2 linked regions of the Nothobranchius furzeri genome follow. The protein of the gene in region 1 purifies or fractionates together with the protein of each later gene. This does not show direct contact. Links are inferred from orthologs where the notes say so. Each region holds a gene or a part of one and is shown on either strand. Other genes may lie near its edges.

Evidence for each region. The genes of interacting proteins can lie anywhere in the genome.
Region 2: the proteins of eif3i (region 1) and eif3ba purify together in Homo sapiens (affinity purification with mass spectrometry; 12 studies listed by BioGRID and IntAct, counting the BioPlex papers as one, with this or other methods). This does not show direct contact. The link is inferred for Nothobranchius furzeri from reciprocal best matches to the Homo sapiens genes EIF3I and EIF3B.

Annotation. Positions count from the first base shown.
Region 1 is NC_091751.1:3,237,402-3,248,409, forward strand, and holds the start of eif3i (eukaryotic translation initiation factor 3 subunit I), read left to right. Parts: upstream 1-3,615; 5' UTR 3,616-3,752; coding exon 3,753-3,755; intron 3,756-4,063; coding exon 4,064-4,156; intron 4,157-4,248; coding exon 4,249-4,336; intron 4,337-4,413; coding exon 4,414-4,479; intron 4,480-4,598; coding exon 4,599-4,748; intron 4,749-11,008. Other genes in the region: txlna (alpha-taxilin), read left to right, coding at 1-81, 162-281, 367-441, 515-607, 690-785, 1,521-1,850. UniProt on the Homo sapiens protein: Component of the eukaryotic translation initiation factor 3 (eIF-3) complex, which is required for several steps in the initiation of protein synthesis.
Region 2 is NC_091744.1:16,237,526-16,248,533, reverse strand, and holds the start of eif3ba (eukaryotic translation initiation factor 3 subunit B), read left to right. Parts: upstream 1-6,069; 5' UTR 6,070-6,198; coding exon 6,199-6,298; intron 6,299-7,370; coding exon 7,371-7,563; intron 7,564-7,654; coding exon 7,655-7,774; intron 7,775-7,861; coding exon 7,862-7,919; intron 7,920-7,991; coding exon 7,992-8,120; intron 8,121-8,196; coding exon 8,197-8,354; intron 8,355-10,228; coding exon 10,229-10,360; intron 10,361-10,447; coding exon 10,448-10,514; intron 10,515-11,008. Other genes in the region: brat1 (BRCA1-associated ATM activator 1), read right to left, coding at 2,762-2,945, 3,023-3,126, 3,198-3,289, 3,396-3,521, 3,601-4,000, 4,095-4,242, 4,933-5,084, 5,606-5,732.

The DNA.
Region 1 (11,008 bases):
AATGCCAGCCTCCGCCAAGAAAACGCTGAGCTGGCAGAGAAACTCAAGAAGCTCTACGAGCAATACAAACTACGGGAGGAGGTCAGCAGGCCGCCTAGCTCCTTTCTGTTTGGCTCCTCGTGTGGATGTGTGTTGACCTCCATCTCATGTCACCCTGGCAGCACATAGACAAGATGGTGAAGCACAAAGACCTGCAGCAACAGCTGGTGGATGCCAAACTGCATCAGGCGCAGGAGCTGCTGAAGGAGTCGGAGGAGCGCCACGACAGAGAGAAAGACTTTGTGAGTTTCTGTTTGTATGGTTCTGCGTCTGATGTCTCTGGTAGTTTCGCATAAGACTAACATCCAGTTTGTTGTAACTCTTTAGCTTCTGAAGGAAGCTGTGGAGTCTCAGAGGATGTGTGAGCTAATGAAGCAGCAGGAGGTCCACCTCAAACAGCAGGTCTCTCTTAAGCTCACTCTTCAGAGTCTCTGCAAAGCAGCTGTCGTCTCACTTCTGCTGTTTTACCTCCCAGCTGTCTCTGTACACCGAGAGGTTTGAGGAGTTCCAGACCACGCTGTCTAAGAGTAACGAGGTCTTCACCACCTTCAAACAGGAGATGGAGAAGGTGGGTGGTTGTGAGGAGAACGTGGATAATTCTGTTGGGTCTACCTGCTCAAACAGGAGCCGTGCTTGCTTTGGGTTCACAGATGACTAAAAAGATTAAGAAGCTGGAGAAGGAGACGACGATGTATCGCTCGAGGTGGGAGAGCAGCAACAAGGCGCTGCTGGAGATGGCTGAGGAGGTAAAGCAGCTCCTGGAGTTTGGATTTGGTTCTCACAGATCTAGAGTGTTCAGAGTAAGGTCGGGCCACTTTGCCGACAGGGTTGGGCGTGTGACGTCATGACACACGGACTGATTTGCGAACCCAGTAGAAGACCGAAACAGATTTTTTTTATGGACACGCGCAGCACGTGTGTTTGCTGGAAGATAATTTTATATTTTTCTTTTTGTTTAACTTTGTATTTGTAGTTTGGTAGAGACGTATAAACGGCCCGTAATAAACACGGTTAAATGTTCAACAGAAGCCTTGCCTTTGCTTCCCTGCGGTGCCCACTGTTGTGGTTTTCATTTAAGCTAAATGTTTCCGTCGGAACAAGAACTTGTGGGGTTCTTTCTTTAGTAAGTAGGGATAAGATCACACCTCAGACAGCTGCGCTTCTCTTCATGCCAATGATGTGCGTTAAACAAGGATCTGACCACGACTGTAGACTCCGTGAAGGCTTTTGCCATCTTCACCCTTTCCTTAACCATTTGGTTGACATGGCAACAATAGGTCAGGGGTCACTGCATGATCACCCACTGCTGTTCCCAGCTGTTTAGATTCAGTTCCACTTTGTTGGAAAACTTTGAGACTTTAGTAGCTGGTTATTTAAAAAGCCACAGCTGTTGACCACGCATCACGACGTTCTGACGCTAGCGCCTTCCGAACTGTTGTTTCACGTGTGATTGAGTCCCAAGCTTCTGTTTCTATTCCCAGAAATCTGTGCGAGATCGGGACTTCGACGCGTTGCAGGGTAAAGTCCAGCGGCTCGAGAAGCTGAGGCGGGCACTTAAGGTGGAGCGAAACGAGCTAAAGAAGAAGGTCCAGAACCTCGGTGGGGCCGCAGGACCCCACACCTCTGACCCAGGGACTGACTCCCCCTCCCCGCCTCCCACGGACTGTCCGCTGGAGGCCAGCACCTGTCCTGTACCAGACAGCTCCTCTGACTCCCCACCTTGCCACTGTGAGCCACAGCTGGACACAGTTGCACTCCCAGAAGAGGCAAACTCCCCACCTGTCCCTGTTCTTGTCCCTGCACAGGAATAAAGCAGGACTGCTTCGTCTCCTCCTCCCTTTCAACGTCCAACCACCAGCCTACAGGCCGCTGGAGCAGCTGATGTTCAACGCTGAGCTGGAATCAGATTTACACCAGATGAGTCCAACAGAAGGGTTAACGTGTGTCCTCCCAGCGTCATCTGCAGACGGGCTTCCTTCACCCCATCCTCTCCAGCTGAAACTAAGCTAGTTCAGATCATTTTATTACAATAACTAGAGTTGTTGCTGAAGGCTTTACTGAGCTGTGTGGGAGGACACCACCTAAGCAGGTTTACCACAGGTGTGTGTGTGTGTGTGTGTGTGTCTTAAGTGTTGTTTTCTTCCATCTCTACCATTCCTTCCTTTAAGTAAGAGCTGTGTGGGACTGTTGAGGGAAGCTTTTCAGTCCAGCCTTTTATCCTTTTTTTATTATGATTTTTTTTGGCAGAGTAAATCCTGGATTATTAAAGAACGTTTTAGAACTAAAACGTTTGAACTCTTATTCATTTGTGTAGTGTTTAAATGTGAGTCTGTATTTATTGTTGAAATCATACAGTCACTGATATCGGGGGTTAAAATAAAGGATATTTTCATTTAAGCTGATCATTTTCATTCATTTTACTCCAAATTTGTCATCCTTACCTCTCCTGGGTTATGTTGCACATTACCAGTTTAGTTATTAGTATTAGCACTTTTATCTCATTTAACTCCATCTTTGTTCCGTGTGTGTGTGGGATGTACCTGTTTATATCTGTGATGGTCCTGGGAACGGCAAAGGCTTCTGGTCAGGTTTATTCTAAAGAATGTCAAAGTTCCTCTATGCAACGCTTGCATCTTGGTTTTATTCTGTGGCCTCGACCCACGAGCACTTAGCTGAGAATGTAATCTCATCATATCCACTGTTCTGCATAAATGTGTCGGGGACGACATATCTCACAGTTTAAGGCCTTTTTCTTCCAAGGGGTTGATACTTTTACATTGGGTGCTTTTGAAATGTGCATTGATCTGAGCCAAGTGAGAAAACTGAGAGGAGAAGTCTAATTTGATTTGGTTTCCTCCAAACACACGCCTGTTTCCCCTGTGCACTACATATGTAGTTTCGACAAAGCAATGCCATCCGAAACAGAAATGCAAATGTTTTTCAGTCTACCATAGGATGTATTCACTGTACTGTTTACTTTTCATATAAACCAAAGATGTCTCCCTGTTGTAGTTTATCTTTTGCAGTATGTTATTTTCTGGCCCTGATTTTAAATAAAATTAGAGTATGTCTGATTTTCTGGCAGATTATTTTTTACAGTGAATTATTTGTGTCATAATGAGAATTTTGAGAACTATGGAGATAATTTATTGTGATTTTTGAGATTTTGTGTCACCATATTTCCAGAATGAAGGGCACAGGACTAATTTTTCTTTTTAAATACTGTATTTGATGACCTTCAAAAAGAATCCAATAAAATCACTGTCAGAAAAGTAAATTTAAGTGACAGAAACTAAACGTAATAAAAGAAACTGGTGAGGAAGGAGTGGTTTCGTGACTGACAGAAATGCAAAATGATTTACAACTTATACAGGAGGGTGGCATGTTATCATACATTATGTTGATAAATATCATGTATGTAGCAGTATTCGGGATTAAATATTCACAAATGAGCTGATAAGGAGCAGGACTGAAACGAGCACAAGTTTGGGATCAAATTACTTTATTTTCTAGATTCCAGAAAGTCCTTCATACCACATTTGTCCAGGAGGGGGCGGCAGGTCGTCCATCTGCGGTTAATACCATCGAAGAAGAAAATGGAAGCCTTCTCTTCCGCCACAGCTCCGGTGTCTGACACATGAGGGTTTAACTTTTCTCCCATTGTGAGGCGCAGCAAATTGACTAAAGCATCTGGAAACACCTAGCTGACGACAATGGTTGGTATATTTATTTACAAGGCAATGTTTACCTGGCGGTTTTCAGTTTTTGTTCTTTAGCTTGTCGCTGTAGTTTGGGGTTTTACTTTGTCTGTTGTGGCTAGCTATAGCTTTTCACGTTAGCTAATGTACATATTCATTTTGGCAGAAGTCTTGAGTTAGCTAAGCTATGAAAGAGATTTCTGTGACTCGTATAGTGTTGGTGCTTTACGCCTAGGCAAGTCAAAGCTACGTTATTCTTTCTTTTTTCAATTAAAACAGTCATGTGTAAATGCTAGCTTAATCTGAACCGTTATCGGTGTTTCTAGAAACCCATTTTGCTCCAGGGCCACGAGAGGTCCATCACACAAATCAAATACAACAGAGAAGGAGATCTGCTCTTCTCGGTGGCTAAAGATACAGTGAGTTGGTACACACTCGCTCTTCTGTCGGATCATTCAACACGACGTTTGGGAGCAGCCAAACTCATCCCTGCTGTTCTGCTGCTATCCAGGTTGCCAACGCGTGGTACTCTGTGAACGGAGAGAGGCTCGGGACCTACAATGGACACACCGGAGCTGTGTGGTGTGTTGACTGTGACTGTATCCTTTGCACCTCTGCCTAATGTAAGCTAGGGGTGTCTGTCAGTGAAGTTAGGCATCTTAACTAGTTGTCTCAGGGGACACAAAGAACGTGTTAACAGGATCAGCAGACAACAGCTGCAGGCTGTGGGACTGTGAGACTGGTAAGTAAACCTTAACAATGTGCTTTTCCAAAGAGGTGGACATGATTTTTAGGGTATTGGGATAGTTTGTAAACCTGACATCATGCTGTCTAAATGACATCTTTAATGTGTTTTCACAGGTAAACAGCTGGCTCTGCTCAACACCAACTCTGCCGTCAGGACGTGTGGGTTCGACTTCAGCGGCAACATCATCATGTTCTCCACCGACAAGCAGATGGGTTACCAGTGCTTCCTGAACTTCTTTGACCTGAGGGATCCACAGCAAATAGGTAAACATTAAATGCGCAAACACACACACGCACACATGTTCTGCAATGGTGTGGCCACAGTATATGGACTGGATATATACCATTTTAAACAAACTTTCTTACACTTTTTGCAATTTTTAATGTCAGTCAGACACCTAAATAAAGTTAATTTAGACCAATCCTGGTCCTGGAGGGCCGGTATCCTGCATGTTTTAGTTTGAACTCTGTTTCAATACTCCTGATTTCAATCAGCAGCTAATTAGCGGTCTTTTGCAGCGCCTGATGAGCTGCTGCACAGGTGTTTCAACCACTGAATCAAGTCTGTAGGAGCAGAAAAACCACAAAACCTGTTGGATACCGGTGTCGGCACAGGATCTGCTCGGGTGCAAAATTGGCTCAGGGTCCGTCGACTGCCGATGACGTCTAAGTAGTTGATTGGCTGCACATGAACCTTACGGAATTACGTAATCACGTTACGTTGTTATCACGTTACGTTGGTCCAGGCAAATCTTTCTGTTGGAAAGATGGACAACTTTTACAAAGAAATCCATCATTACCTCTTTGAAAATACACTTTGAGCATAGAGCTGCATGTATATTAGGGCTGAACGATTAACTGCATGTGTAATTAAATTGCGATGTGACAAAAGGAGATTTTCTAATCGCAAAGGCTGCAATTTGGCAGCGAGTGGTTAGCGCAATGCTAATATACATGGAAAAACCCATAGGAATGCTAATGCTAATATCGCCGATTACATGATCAAATTATGAATTAGAAACGTGCCAAATGATTACATTTGGAGTCTAATAGAAAGTAAAAATACCATCAATCAAATAAGTACAGACAGGTATTTTAGTAAAGCCAGAAAACTTTTAACTCCAGAGTTTTGGCTAGCAGCTATGAGCGTAATGAACTACGCATGGACAAGACGTCAAAAACTCTAAACACAAAATACTTCAATAAATGGGACACACTTCTTTCCTGCAAATACAATTTCACAGGTGTTGCTAATACCTATGATTCTTCAAGGGATGTGCTCAAAGAGGAGTTCAACATCATGACTACAATATAGTGTTTTATTTTACAAATACCATTATAAACACAAACTTACGTCTTAAGAAACATTATTTTAATAAGGAAACTGCTAAATTCTTTCCAACAGTATAGATGTGTACTGTATTTTGTCCGAGTGGGTTTGCCGTACTTTGACGTCATCGGCAGTCGAAGGACCCCGAGCCGATCTTGTACCGACACCGGCCCTCCAGGACCAGGATTGGGCACCCCTGATTTAGAGTATTTATTATGCAGATGTTATTAGTGAATGTTGGGGAAAAAATTTGAATTAAATTCTGCAACAGCACCAGGGTGACTATAGATGTGCCTGACTTTAAATCAGCTTTACTAAGAAAAAACAGCCGATGAATAAAAAACTAAACATTGGCCAACCAATATAATCGGTCCACCCCTAATTCACTCATTCCTTTATTCCATGTAGCAGCTCAGTGGTCACTGTTTTTCAAAATTGCATTGATTCATGTACCAGACTATTAGACGAAGAAATAAGTTAAGATCGTCTAGCCTAGTGAACTAGACCAAATTCTTGCCTTGTAATGTTTGGTGTGGGAACGCTCCACCGGAACTTCTGAGGCCTCCTAGCAGCATTCTGGCAGATGTGTTTTAGTCTTTTATTTAGAAAAAGGATGTATTTTTGCCGCCTTCAACGGCAGACATCCTTGTTTACAGAGGTTGCGGTGAGTACTCCACGTTGTTCGTTGTCCAGTAGGGTGCAATGATTGTTTGAAAGACAACGGTAGAACCCGCCCCACGACAGGCAATGGAACATTAAATAATATTATGGATTTAGTCTGGCGTGCCAGGCTAAAGAACATCCAAAATATCTCAATTTAGAGACTATTTTAAGCTAAAGAAGGTCATAAAAGTGCCAACTATGCTTCTGTTGAAACACACGTAGATTTCCTCAATAACACGTGTGCAGCAACTTTTCCCACACTGAAACATTTCAAAATGAATTGACATGTTTTGTGCACGTGTCCTGAATCAAGTTGAAGATGGTGTGATGTAGGGTCGTCACGGTGTGAAAATGTAGCCTCGCGGTTATCGTAACCAAAATGAAAACGGTATTATCGCGGTATTTTTTTAAACGTGTTACATTTTCAGACAACTAAATAAACCCTGTATGTCAGGAAAATATTGTCCTCAGTTTGTGTCTAAATTTTGCCTAAAACGTGTTATTTTGTAATTATGTTGTTTATTTGTTTACATTTTTCCCCTTTAGTCTTTAAAATACCAATATTTGCCCATAACTTCAAAATTTTTTGTCTGTTTGATGTCATCATTTTAAAAATATTAGACCAGATGATACTCAGTACTCAAGTAGCCTTCTAATCAGATACCGTATTTTCACGACCATAGGGCGCACCGGGTTATAGGGCGCGGGCATGGGCACGTTCAAACGTACCGGTGTCGGTACAGGATCTGCTCGGGTGCAAGATCGGCTCGGGGTCCTTTGACTGCCGATGACGTCAAAGTACGGCAAACCGACTCGGACAAAATACACTACACATCTATACTGTTGGAAAGAATTTAGCAGTTTCGTTATTAAAATAATGTTTCTTAAGACGTAAGTTTGTGTTTATAATGGTATTTGTAAAATAAAACACTATATTGTATTCATAATGTTGAACTCCTCTTTGAGCACATCCCTTGAAGAATCATAGGTATTAGCAACACCTGTGAAATTGTATTTGCAGGAAAGAAGTGTGTCCCGTTTATTGAAGTATTTTGTGTTTAGAGTTTTTGACGTCTTGTCCATGCGTAGTTCAGTTACGCTCATAGCTGCTAGCCAAAACTCTGGAGTTAAAAGTTTTCTGGCTTTACTAAAATACCTGTCTGTACTTATTTGATTGATGGTATTTTTTACTTTCTACTAGACTCTAAATGTAATCATTTGGCACGTTTCTAATTCATAATTTGTAATAATGTAATCGGCGATATTAGCATTAGCATTCCTATGGGTTTTTCCATGTATATTAGCATTGCGCTAACCACTCGCTGCCAAATTGCAGCCTTTGAGATTAGAAAATCTCCTTTTGTCACATCGCAATTTAATTGCACATGCAGTTAATCGTTCAGCCCTAATATACATGCAGCTCTATGCTAAAAGTGTATTTTCAAAGAGGTAATGATGGATTTCTTTGTAAAAGTTGTCCATCTTTCCAATAGAAAGATTTGCCTGGACCAACGTAACGTGATAACAACGTAACGTGATTACGTAATTCCGTGAGGTTCATGTTCAGCCAATCAACTACTTAGACATCATCGGCAGTCGACGGACCCCGAGCCGATCTTGCACCCGAGCAGATCCTGTACCGACACTGGTAAAACATTGTGCGGGCTCGGAGCATATCAGTGCAAACCAGACATTGTGAAAATTATAAACAGCCAAATAATGCTTCACTTTACTGGTCTAGTCCTGGTTTAGAGCGCACGTGCACTTCCTCATTGCGTGTGCTGACGGCTCGTGCTCTTCTAATGGGCTCGACACACGGGAGGCAACTTTGCCTCTCCATTCATTTTCAATGAGACACGCGCGACAAAGCGATAATCGCGTGTCTCCCTCCTGTTACAGCCGGGCGTACACCGGGTGTTCTAAGTACAACCAATGTAATAAAAATGACTCAACGTTCTTCAGCTCAAGAGGTGTCGTGTTTATTTCTCAGCCCGCCGAACTCCTTCTAAACTCCTCCCACTTCAGGCAAGTCTTAAAGGCATACACACTGTATCTATTCACATGACATCTCCCCTCCTTTGAGTCAGAGACGGTGTAAACAGAGTATGTGAAAGAACAAAGTACATCTTTTCCTCAAAGCATTGGAACCCTCTGCAACAGCAACCGACAGTAGGAACATAACATAGATGCTTTTAACCAAAGAGTCAATCACAATAATTACAAACGATCACCCAACACTTTTTTTTTTTTCTTTCTTTTACATGAGAGAAAAAAAAATGGAGGCAACAGGCAACCATACATGCGTCGTTGGGGTGATGGGGTGGACTACCCAAACACCCTTATAGCGGCCGGAGGTTATTCTGCTCCATTTAGGCCGGCTATACGGTTCAATAACAAACAAAGTCCTTGAGCCTCCTGGGGGGCCAAATGACTCTGCCTGTAGAAGACATCCGAGCTGATCCTGGAGGACAATCAGAAAGGCCTGCTGGGACGGTCCCTTGGGCAGGCGAAACAGACTCTTCAGTAGGTGAGGCAGCCCCTCTAACCGGGGAGCCTAAAGGTGTGGGTTGGGGTGTTGATGATGGTGGTGGTGGCTGATCTGCCACACCAGGAAGGAATATTGGTCGTAGATGGCGCCGGTTCCTCCGCAGTGTCCCATGTTCTGTCTGGATCAGGTAGGACCTCGGAGCTGGATGTGGTTGTTGGACCGTTGCCACAGATGTCCAGCCAGAATCACCATCAAGTTTCACCGCCACATCCTGCCCAGGTGTAAGGGGTGGGAGTGCTCTGGCACCATGGCGTCGGTTGTAGGCACGTTCGTAGCTCCTTTTCGCCTTGGCATCGGCTGCACGCACCTTTGCGAAGTTGGGCCACTTAGGCAGCAGAACCTTACCGATTGTAGGTACAGTCGTCTTGATCTGACGACCCATCATCAGCTGGGCAGGACTGGCCCCTGTGGCTTGTACTGGCGTGGCTCTGTAGGCCATGAGAGCCAAAAACGGGTCGTCCTGCCGGAGAATCCTCTTTGCTGTCTGAACAGCCCTCTCGGCCCCACCATTGGCCTGAGGATAGTGGGGGCTGGAGGTGATGTGCCTGAAATCATAGGCTACAGAAAAACCTTCAAACTCTTTGCTCGTAAACTGTGTAGCATTGTCAGTGGTGAGTTCATCTGGACAACCCCACCTAGCAAACATGTTTTTCAGGCGGGAACATACAGGTGCTGGCCAGTAAATTAGAATATCATCAAAAGGTTGAAAATATTTCAGTAATTCCATTCAAAACGTGAAACTTGTACATTATATTCATGCAATGCACACAGACCAATGTATTTCCAATGTTCATTACATTTAAATTTGATATTCATAAGTGACAACTAATGAAAACTCCAAATTTGTTATCTCAAAAAATTAGAATATTCTGAAAAGGCTGAATATAGAAGACACCTGCTGCCACTCTAATCAGCTGATTTACTCAAAACACCTGCAAAGGCCTTTAAAAGGTCCCTCAGTCTTGTTTTGAAGGCACCACAATCATGGGGAAGACTTCTGACTTAACAGCTGTCCAAAAGACAATCATTGACACCTTGCACAAGGAGGGCAAGACACAAAAGGTGATTGCTAAAGAAGCTGGCTGTTCGCAGAGCTCTGTGTCCAAGCACATTAACAGACAGGCGAAGGGACGGAAAAAATGTGGTAGAAAAAAGTGTACAAGCTCTAGGGATAACCGCACCCTGCAGAGAATTGTGACGACAAACCCATTCAAAAATGTGGGGGAGATCCACAAAGAGTGGACTGCAGCTGGAGTCAGCGCTTCAAGAACCACCACGAGGAGACTCATGAAAGACATGGGATTCAGGTGTCGCATTCCGTGTGTCAAGCCACTCTTGAACAAGAAACAGCGCAAGAAGCGTCTCGCCTGGGCCAAGGACAAAAAGGACTGGACTGATGCTGAGTGGTCCAAAGTTATGTTTTCTGATGAAAGCAAGTTCTGCATTTCCTTTGGAAATCAAGGACCCAGAGTCTGGAGGAAGAGCGGAGAAGCACAGAATCCACGTTGCATGAGGTCCAGTGTAAAGTTTCCACCGTCAGTGATGGTGTGGGGTGCCATGTCATCTGCCGGTGTTGGCCCACTCTGTTTCCTGAGGTCCAGGGTCAATGCAGCCGTCTACCAGGAAGTTTTAGAGCACTTCATGCTTCCTGCTGCTGACCAACTTTATGGGGATGCAGACTTCACCTTTCAACAGGACTTGGCACCTGCACACAGTGCCAAAACCACCAGCACCTGGTTCAAGGACCATGGTATCCCTGTCCTTGATTGGCCAGCAAACTCGCCTGACCTTAACCCCATAGAAAATCTATGGGGTATTGTGAAGCGGAGGATGCAATACGCTAGACCCAACAATGCAGAGGAGCTGAAGACGACTATCAGAGCAACCTGGGCTCTCATAACACCTGAGCAGTGCCACAGACTGATCGAGTCCATGCCACGCCGCATTACTGCAGTTATTGAGGCAAAAGGAGCCCCGACTAAG
Region 2 (11,008 bases), on another chromosome or scaffold:
CTCAGAGGTTAGTTTAAATCATAAGCAGACACTAACTAGTTGATCTTGGTTGATTGGTCACATGGACAAACATGGACTACCATGCTGCAGGGGGGCAGTCTAATGGAAGCAGGGAAGAGTGGGTCCAAGCAGCTAGTCAGCGCTTTGATTGGCCGCTGCTATTCATCCCCGTCTTCGGTCTTCATCAAAGTAATTTAAAGGGATACTCTACCCAAAAGTTACATTTTGTCTGTTGACATATTTTCCAGCGTTAGAAAAGTGGGAAAAAAACATTTTCAACCAGCCCAGTTATTGTCCTGACCCAGCTGTACTTCTTTAGCTTAGCATAAAACACTGTAAGCGAATGGGACCAACTATCATTGTGAGGAAAAAAAGTCTGTTCAAATCACTCAGTAGTGATACAAATTGTATTGAGCGGCCTAAATAATCATCAATCAATCAGATTTATTTATATAGCACCTACCACCACCTTATCAGAGGCCCAAGGTGCTGAACTGCACATAAAAACAACATAGTAGATAAAAGAGAGAAAAAATTATTAAAAAAATAGAAAAGTACAAGTAAAAGTAATTAAAAACCATACAGTACAAAAGGTGAAAATACGAAAGCCAGGGTCAACGATGCTGGGGAAAGCTAGTAGATAAAAGAGAGATTTCAGGAGAGACTAACTCCTGTAGAGAAGGAGCTTGCTTCACTGCCAGAGGGAGCTCATTCCAGACTGTAGGGGTCATTACTGAGAAGACCCGGTGTCGGTGCAGGATCTGCTCGGGTGCAGGATCGGCTCGGGGTCCTTCGACTGCCGATGACGTCACATTACTGCAACTCTACTCGGCTTTCACACACACGTTTTGGAAAGACATCAGCAGTTTTGTTAATAAATTCTTGTTTGTTAACATCTAAATGTTTTCTTTATAATTGTAATTTGTTGATAAAACACCATATTATCTTTGTTTTGTAAAGAATGTGAAACTGCATAAAACCAACATCGGACTGACAAACAAACAGTTCTTATATGTGAAGCCACGTCTGTTTGTATTAACGTGGAGTTCATCTGTATAATTCCTTAGTTGTTATCTAAATACATTCTTTGACTCAAAATGTTGCTTGGTGTCTTTCAATAAAGTTCTTATGTTTTATTTTGCCCCCTTTCATCAACATCAAGAGCTTTTGAGGGTCACCGTTTATCATTTGCTTATATTTTACATTTACTTTAGAAATTCAAACATATTTTCTCCAAAAAGTGTTGATTTTTGGACTACAGGACTACAACCGCTAAGACTACGGCCACAAATTTGTTCTGACCAATCAAAATCATGATGTGATAACGTAACTTCCGTAAGCTTCATGTTCAGCCAATCAACTACTTTGACGTCATTGGCAGTCGAAGGACCCCGAGCCGATCCTGCACCGACACCGGTCCCCTTGATCTGAGTTTAGAGCGGGGGACTTCCAGCCACTCCTGCTCAGCAGAGCGAAGAGCCCGAGTGGGGACACGCCGCTGCAACAGTTCAGCAAGATATGGGGGAGCACTGCCCTGCAGCACCCTGATCACATAGAGGAGAATCTTAAATCTTGCCCCGGTAGCCAGTGCTTAGAAGCTACCACTGGCATGATGTAGTCTCTCCTTCTGGTCCCAGTCACAAATCTCGCAGCGGAGTTTTGGACTAGCGGGAGTCGTGCAGTAGTAGCTTGACTCAGTCCAGCATACAATGCATTACAGTAGTCGATGTGGGCATGATAAAAGCATGTTCTGCTGTTTCCAGATGTACTCTGGACAGGAGAGGCTTTGTCTTGGACAGCCGTCTCAGATTAAAAAAACATGCTCGAACAACCATGTTTATTTGTGCATCAAATCAAAGGGGTGCATCAATTTTCACCCCTAAATTAGTGACCACATTCTTCTGACATTGTGTCATGGAATCAAGATCAATCTCATCACCTGCTCCAGCTCTCTCACCAGGGCCGGGTATTATTACACCAGTTTTAGAATCATTTAGGAAGAGGAAGTTAGTCGCCATCCATGACTTAACTTAACTGCATGTTGAAATAAAATGAACACAAAGGAATTCCAGGCGTTATTTCAGACTTGGGACTACTTAATGATAGAGTTCATTTATAAGCTTTCGCCAATAGGCGCAAGGACATGGGTTGGCGTGACACTGCTAAATGCTGGTACATTTTCTCGAATTACAAACATAATGTGTTATGGAAGTAGGTGTCTTTAGAGCCACTGCGTGATGTTCTTATAAATTTTCACTTTTGAGTGGAATATCCCTTTAAAGAGGGACAATATGGGTTTACGTCCTTGTCTTGATAATGCAGCCAACTTTGCAGCAAACTGTTGATGATGAAAGGCTACAAACTAGCTTGTTTAGGCTAGCTTCACAGGAGTTTCAACATGCCTACAAAGTTTCTCTGCTGTTCGTGAGAGACGTGATGTCACGTGCAAAGGGTCAATAGCAGCCAAAGTGGGGGGGGGGGGGGCGTGGCCAGCTCCAGCTTGTTTTCTTAAAGTGACAGAGCCCTGAAACTGCTCATTCTGGAAGGTACTGAAACTGTCAAGAACTGCTGAAACTGCTTTATGTGAGTGATTTTATACTTCTTCAACATGATTTGTATTGACCAAAGTATTAATACAACTTAAGAAAAAAGTCAAAATATGTCCCCTTTAAAATTTGTAACCAGCTTGAAGCAGAAACAGTTTAAAGTTACAGAAGATTTGTTTGGACCTGAACATTTGGACATTGTCCCGTTGTCGTACCTGAGCTGTTGCTGAGGACCGACAGAACATCAAGAGCACATTTCTGAACTTTTCCGCTGCCTATAAGGTTCCTGCCAGCTTCAGCACAGCCACTGGACGAGGAGCCGTCTCCATTGCAGAGCCTCAATAATGACAAAACTGCAGATACAATTAAAACTGGTGGACAGGGGAGGCAGTCGGGATCCTGAGGAGGAGAGACAGAAAAACCTAAGAGACTTTTCTAAGAATTAGATGGCCTCACTATCTGGTCCTTCAACTCACCATGAGTGTGATCTGTGGAGTGTTTGCTAGACTGGCACAAATCATGGAGATGCAGGAAGATTTACTCTTGAGATACTCCATCATTGGAAGGCGAAGCTTGTCTGCTGCAGTAACAATTGGGAAGAATTCATGAAGTATATTTCGGTCTTAAAATGCACACACCTGTAAGGGTTACCTGTGCTGTTTTGTCCCAACAGACTGAGTCCAGTAATGATGTCAAGAGGAAGCAGCAGAACTCTAGCAGCTTGAGCTTTATGGACACAGTCACTGGGGGAGAACGATACATGTCACTATCACCTTTAAACACTAATGGTTTCTACTGGTGAACCAACAGCTCAGTGCAGAAGGTCAAGCTGTGCTGTGTGAAGCTTACTCATGCCCGCTGCGGAGAAAAGCAGCTGCAGTGTAAGAGAGGTCCGCAGGTTTCCCCGTGTTCAACATGATGGACAAAAGGCGATCAACACGCTGGTTCAAGGCATGATGCTCACTTTTACTGCTGCTGAGACAAGCAGAAGGAGGTGAAAACGCTGAAGCATTGTGCATGAAGTCACACATTAAGCATGCAGAGAGAGGCACACCTGTGTGCAGCCTGAACAACATCCATCAGAGACCGAGTGAGCTGGCTGCAGTTGGTCGTCACCAGTTCCTCCAGAGAGTCTGAGACCGTCAGCAGCAGTCGGTCCCTCAGATCTGGCCCGGCCCGGCTCAGGAGCAGGGCGAGCACTTTGAGAGCCTGATGACTCTGAAACAGTGCTGAAGTTCCGTCGAGAACTAGTGACTTCTTGAGATACTCGCAAAGCTTCACGGTAACAGTGCTGTAATTCTGTTTGGTTTCCACGGGAACAGTCAGGTGTTTTGAGTTGTTTTGGGAGTTTTCAGACTGACAGAAGAGCAAGATGTGAGCGAGCATGTGATTAGCAGCCGAAGCAACAAATAGGCTTGTGTCTGTGTGAAGGTGTAGGAGTGGTTCAATCAAATCTGAAGAAGGAAAACATGGAGATGTAAATTACTTAATAAAAAGAGAAAAATCTCTATCTGAAATTTAAACATCTGCTCAGAGAGTGATCAGTACCTGCTTGCACAAAGAAGCCAAGAGCTTTTGAATGCTGCAGCATCGTCCTTAAGCCTTGGATCCAACCTATCCGTATACAAGGATCCTTCCAGAGCCCAGCCTCCTGCCAGCGTTGAGGGTCAAACACCAGGTCACACAAAGAGTGCTCCTAAAACAGAGAGGCTCCATCACAGGCAGCTTAACACCGTTTAGTAACTTTTAGTTTGAGAATAACTTTTTGCTTTCCTTGACATTGAATGTGCTACTACTAGTTTATCCGTTTAATTATAGATCCACTAGGACAAATACAATAAAGTTTATCTTTCACCAAATAGAATATTTACTAAGACATCACAATATAACTATAGACACACTACTTGGTGTGTGTGTGTGTGTGTGTGTGTGTGTGTGTGTGTGTGTGTGTGTGTGTGTGTGTGTGTGTGTGTGTGTGTGTGTGTGTGTGTGTGTGTGTGTGTGTGTGTGTGTGTGTGTGTGTGTGTGTGTGTGTGTGTGTGCCTGCTCTGTCTTCTCGATCCCCAGTGAGTCGTGGAGGATGGCTGCTTATACTGAGCCAGGATTCTCTGGAGGTTTCTTCCTGTTAAAAGGGAGTTTTCCTCTCCACTGTCGCTTTATGCTTGCTTAGTATGAGGATTGCTGTAAAGTCACTAACACTAGTCAGTGACTTGATGCAATTTGCTGGGTTCCTTATGTATGAAAAATTATTTCTGATTGGCTTAATGAACTGACCTGACCAGGTTTATTATGTGAAGTGCCTTGAGACGACTCTTGTCGTCATTTGGCGCTATATAAATAAACTTGAATTGAATTGAATAGTGATTACAGGAGTTACGAGACTTACCTGAAGAACTTTAAAGCCATTCTCAGTAGCTGAGATTAGGCCGGTGAGTTTCAGCGTGAAGGAGAGGATGCTGGCATCTGAGGCAGGGCTGTTGTTAACTACGGTCGGTATGAAATCAAGCAGACAGGGGAAGGCCTCCAGCAGAGAGACTCCTTCATCAGGTGACATTACAAAACAAAAAGGTGTCACTTAGACACTTAGCTGTGGAAAACTAGATCTGAAAACAACACATTCAGTTAGGTTTCAAGAGAATCTGTTTGGTAATACCTATTCTCCAGTTCCGTATCTACAGACTTTCACCAAATGCAATTTCAACTGACTTAGACATGTGTCCTTTGTACAAGGGAGAATGTTACTTTAGGTATTTTTAATGTCATTTATGACATTAATTATTGACATATAACATTAATTAGGACTATCTGAATATAATTTTAATAGAGAAACTCGCTATAATCTAATAGAAAAACAAATAGGAGTGCTTGCCAGTTATCTTCCAGCCTTATTTGCATCCATTAGGCTGTTTTAAATTAAACATCTCCATTTTACTTTATTTAAAATTAGTTCACAATAAATAAATAAATAAATAGCCAACCAATGAATAATCAGCAGTAGGAGAAAGTAATTTATACATTGAGTGACTACTGGAGCACAAGCCCTCCAGGTTGTTACTGACCATCCTTGGTGAGCGCTGTGAACCAGTCCAGGAGTTTCTCCAGACTGGTATCATCGGGCAGAGAGCTTCCTGAGGCTGCTAGCACCTCACACACCCGCGGCAGGACTGTCACACACTCTCGGTCCATGCTACTGACTAAACGTGTGTTAATAAACGTTACACTGACCTTCTGCTCAACGCTGCATTACTGTAAACGAGCACTGCTTAATGACACATTAAAATGTTTTTATTTTTCGCTCAAAATGAAAGTTAGATCGTTGAGCACATCTCGCGGGAAAAATTCATCACCGCCAGCGCGTCGCTCCACTGTTTTAGCGTGAAGTGAGTCGAACAAATATGGCTGCCTAATTCACTGATCTCTAAACAACTCGGTGAGCTACATCAATGTAAACCGCCGCGCGCTTCCGGTCCTTGTGCCTTACAACTCATTTCTCCGCGGCACGTCTACGCGCTCGCGAGCAGCTTCCGGTGCTGCGTTTCCGTCTCTTCGTCCATTTTCGCACATGCTGCCGCACCGGTCGCTCCTCGTTAGCCTCTCATTTTTTGGGATTTTCATCCCTCGTCGAGAGAATTACGACTTATTCTAACGCTAGATGCAAGACACGGCGGCCATGGTGGACGACCCTGAGTATGAAGAGGAGGAGCCCTCCTTCAGCGATCCGGAGGACTTCGACGATGACATCGAGGACGAGGGTTAGCGGTAGCAGGAAAAACGCCGGCTATCCGGCCTAGTGCTAACTAACCATTAGCTAAGAGACCGATAGCGGTTATGCTCCAAATGGTAGAAATATTACGCGGTGGTCCACCAGAACTTGATAAAAATGTTTAGTAGTCCATAATAGCTTCGTTAACCGAAATAGTGGTGCAACATTTTTTTGTCTCAGCCCCCCACCCTGATGCTATCTGCTACACGTTACGCCCGTTAGCCTCACCTAGACCCCAGACAGCTTACTCAGCGTGGCCTATTTGAAAACGTGCAGGGACGGACCTGAATGCATGAGAACAATCCTCCTGTAGCTGAATGGAGAGTGTGTGCGATTGCAAATGAGCAGCTTGACTTTACCTACACAGTCAAACGCAAAATTAAAGGTTTCTGCTCAGATAGGTGTGCCTAAAATTCATTAAGCGAATTTTGGTAGCAGTACAAAACCGCCCCCCGCCACAGTAGCTTTTATTTGGGTTTTAGACTTAAGATCGGCTTTATAATTAGTAAAAGATTTACTAGCAGTGATCGTTAATTTACTCCATTAAACACAAGTTTCACTTGTTTAATCAAAACTTTGACGCTATTTATTTAATTGTAATTAACTTGAGTTTGTAAAAGCAATGTGTCGTCAAAATATAAGAAGTTTCAGATGATGAGATGTTTAAATTCCAAAGTAAAATAAAATCTTGTGAAAGTTTCCCAAGAGCGATCTAGTTGCACCTAGTTTATAAGCCAGGTATTTGCTAATTACACAAAACGTGTAACTTAGTCTGGGCTTTTGCAGAAACACAACATGGGGGTATTGTAAAGTAAAAACATGTAAAAAAAAATAATAATAATAACAATGGAAAGGCAATTATTCGTTTTCTCAAGAATAATTAATTTTAAATGAATAAATTAAGCTTAATTGTTTTGAGGTAGTATTGACTGTATAAATTATATATATATATTTAATTTATCACATAAGTTAATCAAATACTCATCGATTCTTTGACAGTTTGCATCTGTAAAAATGCCAGTTTCATAGAACATACTTAACTAATCTTTCTTTGTCCGCAGAGCTCCTGGATGACATCCTGCGGGAAAAGCCCCAGGAAGCGGATGGGATAGACTCTGTGGTTGTGGTGGACAATGTTCCTCAGGTGGGCCCAGAACGTTTGGAAAAACTCAAAAACGTCATACATAAGATCTTCTCCAAGTTCGGCAAAATCACCACAGAGTTTTACCCAGAGGCTGATGGCATGACCAAGGGGTACGACCTAGCTGTCTCTTTCTTGCGTTGTTTATCCACGGCTCCACACTTAAATCCAAATACGTGTAACCTAACTTGTGTTTCTGCGCAGGTACATATTTTTGGAGTATGCCGCTCCCACTCAGGCCCTCGAGGCTGTGAAGAATGCAGATGGATACAAACTCGACAAACAGCACACGTTCAGGGTCAACCTCTTCACTGACTTTGATAAGTATGTTTGCAGAATAGGCCAATAGATTTGTTAAACTAACACAAGCCTGACTGAAGTTGTTCATTTCATCTTTTTTGAAACATTTAGGTACATGAACATTTGTGACGAGTGGGAAGCTCCAGAGAAACAGCCTTTCAAAGATTTTGTGAGTTCCACTCTTTATTTTCTTGTGAGGTCCTTATGCTCCATCCTCAGTTTGCTCTTGTTCTCTGTTCAGGGGAATATGCGTCACTGGATCGAGGATCCTGACTGTCGTGATCAGTATAGTGTGATCTACGAAGCTGGAGAGAGGACGGCCATTTTCTCAAATGACGCTAAAGAGCCAATAATAAATGAGGAGAGAGCGGTAAGGTGGTAATTATTAACAGCAATCAGGTTAATGTGATGTGAGGAAAACCTAACGATTTTGTGTTTGGATACAGCGCTGGACAGAGACGTACGTCCGCTGGTCTCCTAAAGGCACTTACTTGGCTACTTTCCATCAGCGGGGTATTGCATTGTGGGGCGGCGAAAAGTTCAAACAGATCCAGAGGTTCAGCCATCAGGGTGTGTCGCTCATCGACTTCTCACCGTGTGAGAGGTAATCCGCACAAAGCCTGCCAAGTCTGATCTCAGTTGATCATATTTGTAATGAGAATTTTTTTTTTCCACCAAACTTTTTTTTTCCTTTCTGTGGGACACTTTGCAGCTTCTTCATATTTTTAAATAATTTTCCTGAGCCAGTGTGTGCTGAAATAACCCTTTACAGGTTTAATGAAAGGCCACCCAGACCCTATCGCCAGAACATTCCTTCTGTTGGGACTTAAAAAAGTTGAGCTGACATAACTGGCGCTGCAGTCTGGTTCCGGACCTTTTCCCTTATGTTTTAGATCGTGAACACTAGGGCTGGGCGATACATCAATATTTTTTAAATATCTGTATAATTATTAAACAAGATATAAGATGACTTAATATTTTTGTATCGATTTAACTGGTCAAACGGCTATGCTAGCGATTAGCCGCTATGCTAGGGACATGTCGCTCTGTCTCTAAGCAGCTATTCTCACAAGATTGCTCAATCTGAGAGCCTCTGGGTAAATGTGCTGTTCTAAACTTTGCATTTGGCGTCCTGGTTTTTAATTATTTGGGGACGTTCAACGCCAACGGAGTTCTGTTTATCCATCCTGCTCGTGCGGAGACGAGCCAAACACCTCCCTCCCCTGTGTAATCGGGAAACATCTACATGTAGCCAGAGTGGCCAAATCACCTCAAACATATTGTAAGGGTAGAATAGTAAACTATAGGGTTAATGTTTTATTTTGAAGGCGAGCTCAGCGGGTGAGAAATTTTGTTCTGATTTTTTTCCGCTCTGGTTAGCTATGCTAGTAAATACTCCATTACGAGCGATTCAGTTGAAAAAGTTCAGAGTTTGTAAGGTGTGGGTTACAGCGACAATAGCATGCAAATCCTCCCCATAAAAGAGCAACCAGAGACTGAGTCACTACAGTATAATCGCTGATATGAGTCAATACTGTTAGATTGCAGCCATGTTTGCCCTCATAACTAATAACTCCACTGTGCGTGACCCAGTAGATGCAATTACATCATCATACATCTAGTTTAACATGATAGATTTTTTTTCTCTGGGCAATAAATATACGATATGGGCCACCTCTAGATGACTAATTGTACATTAATTATAAATATATATAAATAAAAAGTGCCTGTGGGACATTTGATACACCTCCAGCTCTCAAGTGTGTGTGTGTGTGTGTGTGTGTTTGTTAACTGACAGCTGTACCAGTGTTTCTAAAGCACAGACTGGTAGAGAGTAGGCACTAAGGTTAGAGTTTGACAAGAATCAGTACATTTTTATGCATTTAATCTACTGATTTATGTTTATAATTTGTCAAGACAGCTTGAAGTGAGTTAACTTGTAAATATTTTACAGGAGGAAAAATATCGAGATATATATCGTATATCGGAATTCAGCTAAAAAATATCGAGATATAAGTTTTTGTCCATATCGCCCAGCCCTAATGATCACAGATTATTTGTTTAATTTAGTGATGGATCACTCCTATAAACTCTAATGAAAGCTGGGGAGACATTTCAGCTGTTGGATTAAGGTGTTAAAAGAACGAACGCACAGCGAGACGATAAGTTTTGCTTTCGGTTCTACAAACACTAGGGGGTGCTAAAAGCGAGCCAAAACTGCCTAGTTTCTTGTAGAAGTGATCTTTATTTTTATGTTATTGCAGTTAATGTTTCTTCCGGCGGGGAATCACATCAGCATACACTTTTAATAGAAAATATGATCAATAAAATATGAAAAAGTGATTTAGCAGATCCTGTTTGTTAGTTATAGTGACTTGGAAATAAAACATTAAAGATAAACACAAACCATGCTTTGTAGGTAGCATTAGCCAAACTGATTTTACTGAGTTTTATAAAACGTGCTGTTGGTTCCTGCAGGTATGTTGTCACCTTCAGTCCACTGATGGACACCAAAGAGGACCCACAGGCTATCATCATCTGGGACATTCTGACTGGACAGAAGAAGAGAGGCTTCCACTGCGAGAGCTCGGCACACTGGCCCATATTTAAGTCAGAACACTACTTTTGTTCTTTCTCTTTAATTTTAAATGCAGATTTATGTTTGGGTGTGTTTTAACTGGACAGGATTTCTCTCAGGTGGAGCCATGATGGGAAGTTCTTTGCTAGGATGAGCACAGACACGTTAAGCATCTACGAAACTCCAGTAAGTAAATTAAGAAGCACCATTTTTTTAATGAAATATGATATATATAGTTATAATAGTTATGATTTTAAATAGGGTTGGGTATCGAGCATCGATTGGAACCGGTTTCAACTGTTAGTTTTTCCCGGAATCGTTCAAAGTTTTTTATTTCGATTCCTAGTTTTGATTCCTAGAATGCCGACCGGAAGAGGAATCCGCGGCTGATCTCCGTGAAAAATAAACGTGATCTGCAATCTGTGATCAACGCTTTTCAGAGCTGATCACACCAGCTGTCTGTGTGCAGCACCGAGTCTCCTCCCCTCACCCACCCTGCACGCAGCGGCCAAATATAAACAAACGCCTCTGCCGAACTTTTACTCCGTAACGTAAACTTTACCTCCTGCAGCGTAGAGGAAACGTGTTAAAATACGTCAACACGGTGGATTTAATAGAAGCTTTAAAGAACAAACTCTGGATGGTGTGAGGTGAGTTTGTCTCACTGCAGAAATAAAAAC